Linked DNA regions of Saccharomyces cerevisiae S288C. The protein of the gene in region 2 interacts with the protein of the main gene of each other region in a pairwise test. Each region holds a gene or a part of one and is shown on either strand. Other genes may lie near its edges.

Region 1 (3,161 bases), on a different chromosome or scaffold from region 2:
GGTAAATGCATTCTCTTAGCGGAAGCACCCGTGGCCAAGATTATAGCATCAGTGGTCACAGGCTCTGCATCCTCATTAAATTCGGTCCATAATCTGAATGGTTTTGAAGATAAATCGACTTTAGAGACAGTCTCGGTAATTATGTTAGTGCCAAACTTGGCAGATTGTTTCCTCATCCTCTCCATCAGTTCACTGCCACTCAACGATTCAGGAAACCCTGGGAAATTTTCGATATCGGTGGTTGTTGTCAATTGGCCACCAGCAGCAATTCCGTTGGCCATCATTCCCTCATATAATGTGGGCTTCATCTCTGCTCTTGCCAAGTATATAGCAGCGGTGTGGGCAGCGGGGCCAGAACCTATGATTGTAACCTTGTGATGAATCATCCTTGACAGCACGGACTTGCTGATGCCAACAAAATTCGTCCTGAATGGCGAAACTATATGTTTTATCATTGTTTATTTATATTAGAAACTGTGGAGTCCGTTTCGTTCTTCCTTTAATGTTGGACGATCCCCTAAAAGTTTTCATTGCGGTCAGCTCAAGGCATTCCCCATCGAGTGATTAATTAACAACGCGCCCGAGTTAAATGGGATAGTAGTAGTCGATGAGAAGAATAGTCGGTTGGATAGGGATGGTGAGCTATGCAACTCGTTTTGAAGGCTCTAGAAACTGTATGAGTATATCTTTGGTCATTTCTACGAGGCTGCTGTTAAGGATGATGTGATTGAGGAAGTACTCGAGCCCTCTCTGTCTTTTTGCCAGCCAGTCCTTGTTCAGATTCACTTCTTGATATTTCCAAGAACTGTACCACTGCACTGAAGGGGGAAGGTGTGGAATCTGCAAACAGTTAAGTTTCTCAGGTTTCGCTGTCTTGATTCTTGTGAGCAAATTCTCTCGTAATCTGACGAAATCGGAGTATCGTTTATAGGTTTGGATTTTATAGCTTTCCCTCTTGGCCGCAAAAGCCTTCAAGTTGGGTTCAAGAAATACGGTAATTCTCCAGACAGCAAACTTTGTTCCATGGTCGCCATTGACTATGGTGCAATCGCTGACATGAGCCTTTTGAAAACTAAAGTTTGCATTGATAGAACTGCTTCGTCTAGGTCTTGTTCTGGTAATTGTGGCACCGCAATCATTACTATGGCTAGTGCTATCATTGCTGTTTGACGCACTGATGGGTCCCTCATTTTCTTGTTGTGAGTCAATGTCGAGTTCAGGCTCCGTGGAGTCTTCGTCAAGTAGTTGGATGGGTTCGGGAGGTAGAAAGGATATCTTGTCGCTCATATCTTGCTGTTGTTTTAGTTGAAATGGAAGCTGCTATTAATATCCCGATAGATATCCGGTTACTCAAATGATTTTGGGACCGCTTTGCTCTCTTGGTGTCTATTTTAGTATCACTCACTCATCGCCCCCACTCGTTTCCCTTTTAATTTCAATTACCGTTGGGTTCTGTTAAAAAATAGCCAAATTGTCAACCATACAAGAGATGAATTAAAAGCGTGGATGACACCACAGGCAGAAAAAGTATATCCAACATTTTATTTAAAGCTGTTCTGTGTCTAAACAGAAGAGCATGTAAAAATTTATACACATATACAGCATCGGAATGAGGGAAATTTGTTCATATCGTCGTTGAGTATGGATTTTACTGGCTGGATCAGGCAAAAGTGGGGAATTTACCATCCAACCAGGTCCATGGATCATTAAATCTGATGTTGGCATTTAGTGCAGAAATATCCTTCAATTCTTGCTCCGTTAAAGTGAACTTTTTTTCGATTTCTAGGTTGCCAAGTAACCTTTCCTTCTTGGAAGATTTTGGAATGACGGCAATGCCTCTCTGAGTTGCCCATCTAAGCAATACTTGGGAAGTGGTACTGCCTGGATGGTTTTGTGAGACCTTCTTGATTACATCATTCTCGAACAGAGTTGGCGTGGTTTTTGCCAACTGTAAGTCCATCTCAATGAATGATTGAGGACCGAAGGAGGAGTAAGCAACTACTTGGATATCGTGTAATTTACAAAACTCAACTAGGTGTTCTTGAGTCAAATAAGGATGGTGTTCAATTTGCAAAGCCACGGGCTTGATTCTACAACCACGTAATAAATCTTGAATCAAGCTTCCCTGAAAGTTGGAAACACCAATAGACTTAATCAAGCCTTCATCAACACATTCTTCCAGAGCCCGGTACGTATCTATGATTGGTACATGTGCTTCGGTGATGTGACCTTTCTTCTCGTCATCTGCGCCCGTATAGAATCCTGGAGGGTATTTCTCTTCAAATGGAACATATTTGAAGGCGATTGGGAAGTGAATATAATACAGGTCTAAATAATCAAGTCCCATATCGCTTAAGGTCTTCTTTAAAGCTAATTTTACATGATCAGGATGGTGAAAATTGTTCCATAACTTTGAAACAACAAATATATCCTTTCTAGAAACAAGACCTTCGGAGATGGCTTTCCTGATACCTTCACCAACTTCCTTTTCGTTGCCGTAGTCGCAAGCACCATCGAATAAACGGTAGCCTAATTTGATAGCTTCATAAATTTGATTCGCACAGACTTTTTTGTCAATTTTCCAGCACCCTAAGCCGACTAGGGGCATTTTCAGACCGTTATTAAGAGTAACCAGTGAAGACATCTTTAAAAAATTTCCAATTTTCCTTTACGATTTATATTACAGTATTTTCCCAATCGTCTTGAAGGATTGCACTGACAACTATTTGCTTCTATATCCCTTATATACTTCAGTGTACCAGGAGTAATTTACTTGATAGGCCCCCTAGAAGTAGTAACTTCGAGGTTTTTTTTTTTTCCATAAAATTCTTCCGCATGTGGCTTTTCCCTTTTATGACGTATACGTTTACTACCAGCAACAATTGGGAAACAAGTATAGAATCTAGAGTTCCGATAATGAAATATTATAAAAGTTTTATTAAACAGTGAATGTGTAAAGAAAACAAACAACTATATGCTGAGGAGACTTCTAAATATATGCTGAGGAGTTTTCCTTGGGCTCCCTTTTAATCCAGTTTTTTTTTTCTTGTGCATGAGTGAAATTACAGTTACAAAAAATATCAAAACTTCTTGTAGTAATGCGCCCATTTCTTGATGAACACGGCATTTACAGTATCTGCGTCTACGAATTCATCATTGAT
Region 2 (5,039 bases):
GAAATATTTTTGACCAAAGGACTAAGTAAGCTTTTTAAGAAGAGAGTATTCGAAGAGCAGGATTTACAGTTTACAAAAGAACTGCTGCGGTTATTATCTTCCGCGTGTATTGATGAGACCATGAGAACGTATATTACAGAAAATTACCTTCAACTATTGGAAAGATCACTAAACGTGGAAGATGTACAAATATATTCTGCATTGGTGTTAGTTAAGACATGGTCTTTCACAAAATTAACGTGTATAAACTTGAAGCAACTGTCCGAAATCTTTATAAACGCTATTTCAAGACGTATCATGCCAAAAATTGAAAATGTCAATGAAAGTGCGGTTAAGCTCGAGGAGGTTCCTAAAGTTGAAATGTCCGTTGAAGCGCTGGCATATTTAAGTCTAAAGGCCTCGGTTAAGATTATGATTAGGAGTAACGAGAGCTTTACTGAAATTCTATTAACTATGATTAAAAGCCAGAAAATGACGCACTGTTTATATGGTCTCTTAGTTATCATGGCAAATTTGTCCACTTTACCAGAGGAATCCAATGGTAGTTCACAGTCTATCAATGACTTAAAAAATTACGCAGATTTGAAGGGCCCAGGCGCAGACAAGGTAGGCGCAGAGAAAGAATCAAAGGAAGATATTCTTTTGTTTAACGAAAAGTACATATTAAGGACCGAGCTGATTTCCTTTTTGAAGAGGGAAATGCACAATTTGAGCCCCAATTGTAAACAACAAGTGGTTAGGGTTATATATAACATAACCCGCTCGAAAAACTTCATTCCTCAATGCATTTCACAAGGTGGTACAACTATCATCTTAGAATATTTGGCCAATAAGCAGGACATAGGGGAGCCAATACGGATTCTAGGGTGTCGGGCATTAACAAGAATGCTAATATTCACTAATCCGGGTTTGATATTTAAAAAATACTCTGCATTAAACGCTATCCCCTTCTTGTTCGAATTGTTGCCAAGGTCTACGCCAGTGGATGACAATCCGTTACATAACGACGAACAAATAAAGCTGACAGACAATTACGAGGCACTATTAGCTCTGACGAACTTGGCATCATCGGAGACCTCTGATGGTGAAGAAGTTTGCAAGCATATCGTATCTACAAAAGTATATTGGTCCACGATTGAGAATCTGATGCTAGACGAAAACGTTCCTTTGCAAAGATCAACATTAGAGCTCATAAGTAATATGATGAGTCATCCATTAACGATTGCTGCTAAGTTCTTTAACTTGGAAAATCCTCAGAGTTTGAGAAATTTTAATATATTGGTGAAACTTCTTCAGTTATCCGACGTTGAGTCTCAACGAGCAGTGGCTGCTATCTTTGCTAACATTGCCACCACGATTCCATTGATAGCTAAGGAACTGTTAACCAAGAAAGAACTAATCGAAAATGCTATTCAGGTATTTGCGGATCAAATTGATGACATTGAGTTAAGACAAAGGTTACTTATGCTTTTTTTTGGATTATTCGAAGTGATACCGGATAATGGCACTAACGAGGTGTATCCGTTGCTGCAAGAAAATCAAAAATTAAAGGATGCTTTAAATATGTCTTTAAAGAGAGGCGATTCAGGACCAGAGTTTTCAGCGGCAATTCCCGTTATCCTTGCTAAAATTAAAGTCTAATATGGAAAGAATCGCCATGTTTAACTCTTCTTAATTTTCACTAAGAAATACAACAGCACCCTGATAATGAACACACAAGAACTATGTAAGATTTTCGTAGCCAGAGAATATCCTCTGGTAGTGGTGCCCTTTATATATTTTGTTCTATTTTTACACCAGAAGTATCACACTACTCTAAATTATGTCTGGTACCCTACGTGTTCTAAAAGAATCTGGGTGAGAGAAAAAGGAAGAAAGTGCTCCTTTTTTTTTTTTTCAAAGGTGCCTCGGTCCGATGGCTTCGCAAACAATAGATGCCAAAGGAAATGATCTTCTCTTTTTCGCTTCTTTATTTTTTTTTAAGTTACGACTTCGTGCAGCCTGGGATGTACCAAGCTTGTTGTTAAACGAGCCTGACTTCTTAATCGCTTAATCTTAGTTGAATTTAGTAGTTCCAGTTTGTATGGCTGCTATTTTTGAGTATTTGGAATCATCTTTCGTTCAGCGATCTTTTTATCATTCACTTTGTCGTTTACAATTAGAAAGCGTCAAAACTTTGCATTTTTCATTTAATAATAACTGAACTCCACCAACTTTTTACTAGCAAGTTGTAAAGTTCATCGGTCAGATAAACATCTTAATTACCTGTGAAATACTCTACTGTTTCTTATGACCAGTATGTCAATTATTGATGATGAGAACGTGAAAAAAACTTCTAATGGGGCAGCTGTTGTCACTGATGTGGCTCAACACGCTGTAAGTGATTCGGACAATAACAAAGCGCAACTTCTAGGCGATGGATCCAACACTGAATATGTGGTTGATATTTTCATTGAAGCCGCTAAGGATGGGGATTTAAAAGTGGTGAAGGACGTGGTCGAAAGTGGAGCAGTGGATATTAATAACGACCGCATTGATGAATTATCCGGCTTACACTGGGCCTGTATAAACAATAGGTTTTCTGTAGCAAAGTTCCTATTACTTAGGGGAGCAAATCCTAACCAGGCGGCAGGCCCCGGAGGGGCTACTGCTTTGCACTGGGCCGCAAGGTACGGTAATATCTACATTGTTGACCTGCTTCTCAAACATGGCGCTGATCCGACGCTCAAAGATGAGCAGGGTCTTAACATCATGCATTTTAGCGTTTACAGTTCTAACATTTTACTTGTTGTTTATGTTCTTTATTTTGTCGTAAACAACAATGACAACGTCGATATCGATTCAAAAGATAACAATAACAGAACACCCCTACTTTGGGCTGCTTATCAAGGAGATTTTCTCACTGTAGAACTTTTATTGAAATTTGGCTCCACAGTTGCATGGACGGACAACAGAGGGTTCAATGCTCTCCATTGTGCTCTAGTTGGAGGTGATCAAAGGGTCATATGTGACTTAATACTTAGCGGTGCAAATTTCTACGAAAGGAATAACCAGAAGCAAGACTGTTTTGATCTAGCCGAAGGAATGGGAACCAAATCACTTTTTGAACAAGCGTTGCAACATCATGGATATGACAGGCTTGGAAATCAGAAAGACAAACTGTTCAAGAAAAGCTCGCATGCACAATTCACAATTTTTTTGTCACCATTTTTACTCATGGTTTACATATACTTAATTTCTCTCGTTCTTTCTCCAGTGCTAGCCATTATGCTTTCCCTACTGGTCACTGTTGTCATGGTCAACACATTAAAGAAGTTTGTATTACCATGCCTTCCCAGAAAAAACACTTACAAAGTTTCTTTGACTAGAACTCCCTTTTTCAGTGGCCTCTTTCTGTCCACTTTCTGTTTTTTAATATATATATGGACGAAGAAACTCTATCCATATAGTGTATCTGACTATACCATGAAAAACGTCCAGTTTTTGGTTACTTCCTTTCTCACAGTTGTACTATTTCTGAGATTAGTACGGTCAGATCCTGGTTGTCTGAAAACGGATGATAGTTTGACTTCGATACAAGAAACAATAAAACAACTGATTGACTTAGGGAAGTTTGATAGGGAAAACTTTTGTGTTGAGACATTAGAAAGGAAGCCTTTGAGGAGTAAATATTCTTTCTTTAGCGGCGCCCTGGTGGCCAGATATGACCATTATTGTCCATGGATTTATAATGATGTTGGCTTAAAAAATCACAAACTTTTTGTCTTCTTTGCTGTGACGGTCCAATATCACATGTTTTTGTTCATGTGGTTATGTCTGGCATATTTTAAGAAAACGAACTATATTTACGAACAAGTTGAAGAATATGCAAGATGTGCCCTGCTCAAGAATGAGACTTTGTGTAAGGGTTCTAATTACGATCCCTCTACCTTTTTTTTATTCATTTGGATTAGCGTAAACTTCATCTGGCTGGGGGCTATGTTGATTGTCCAGTTCTTCCAGATATTAAAAGGAATCACGACTCCTGAATTGTTCATCTTAATCAAGGAGGAGCACAAGGCAAAATTTATCAATCTGATACCCTTCGAAAACTCTATATATACCAGTGAAAGTAAAGGTGTTGAAGATAGTGATATGATTCCTGAAGGTCCAAGTGCGACCACCATTACTCACACAATTTCTATTGATGGTTTGGAACCAAGAAATAGGCGCCGCGCCATTCTTAGCGCTTGCTTTTCAATGATGGGTATTAATCAATGGCTCGTTACTATTAAGGAAATAGTAGGTATAACCCACATTTTGCATGGACAGGTTCCACAACAACATCACAGTTCATTGCTTCGAAGTTTCTTAGTGACAAATCACTGGAAGACGAATTTGACGGATTTTTGGCTTAATAGTGATGTAACAGCGCCCTTGTGGCAACGATTTTTCTATTCTTCGGATACTTCAAAAGCTATGTTGGGTGGAACTGAGGTTGACTACTACGAGCTATACGAATATCCGGCCCGAGAAGGAGAAGTATTACGTCCAAACTAAGTTCGCGTTTTATTTAAATTTTTTTCTTTATAGGGCATTATTTGTACTTTTTTTTCTTACGCGTCTTTAGCAAAGGCGGGAAGTACAATAACTAGTTTTGTGCACAACAAAAATTTGCGTGATTGATAGAAGGCAAAAGGATCTTTCGAGAAATTTGTATTACTGGCCCGTGTAAAAAAACCTTAACAAAAAATATCAGGTCCTTGCTCCTTCAGGTATATCTATATGCTCTCATAGAATTATATTTGATATTGCTTTTTGGACCACATTAAAATAAAAGGAGCTCGAAAAAACTGAAAGGCGTAGAAAGGAATGGGTATCCAAGGTCTTCTTCCTCAGTTAAAGCCCATACAGAATCCAGTATCACTACGTAGGTATGAAGGAGAAGTGTTAGCCATTGATGGCTATGCATGGCTACATAGAGCAGCCTGCTCTTGTGCTTATGAACTTGCAATGGGAAAACCAACTGATAAGTACCTGCAGTTTTTCATAAAAAGATT

What was found.
Region 1: the proteins of AKR2 (region 2) and YPT35 interact in a two-hybrid assay, tested with the Saccharomyces cerevisiae proteins (2 studies listed by BioGRID).

The regions. Positions count from the first base shown.
Region 1 is NC_001140.6:322,892-326,052, reverse strand, and holds YPT35 (Ypt35p), read right to left. Parts: upstream 1,288-3,161; coding exon 643-1,287; downstream 1-642. Other genes in the region: thioredoxin-disulfide reductase TRR2, read right to left, coding at 1-455; GRE3 (trifunctional aldehyde reductase/xylose reductase/glucose 1-dehydrogenase (NADP(+))), read right to left, coding at 1,661-2,644; SBE22 (Sbe22p), read right to left, coding at 3,081-3,161.
Region 2 is NC_001147.6:394,337-399,375, reverse strand, and holds AKR2 (putative palmitoyltransferase AKR2), read left to right. Parts: upstream 1-2,289; coding exon 2,290-4,539; downstream 4,540-5,039. Other genes in the region: SHE4 (She4p), read left to right, coding at 1-1,641; YOR034C-A (uncharacterized protein), read left to right, coding at 1,708-1,950; Rad2 family nuclease EXO1, read left to right, coding at 4,852-5,039.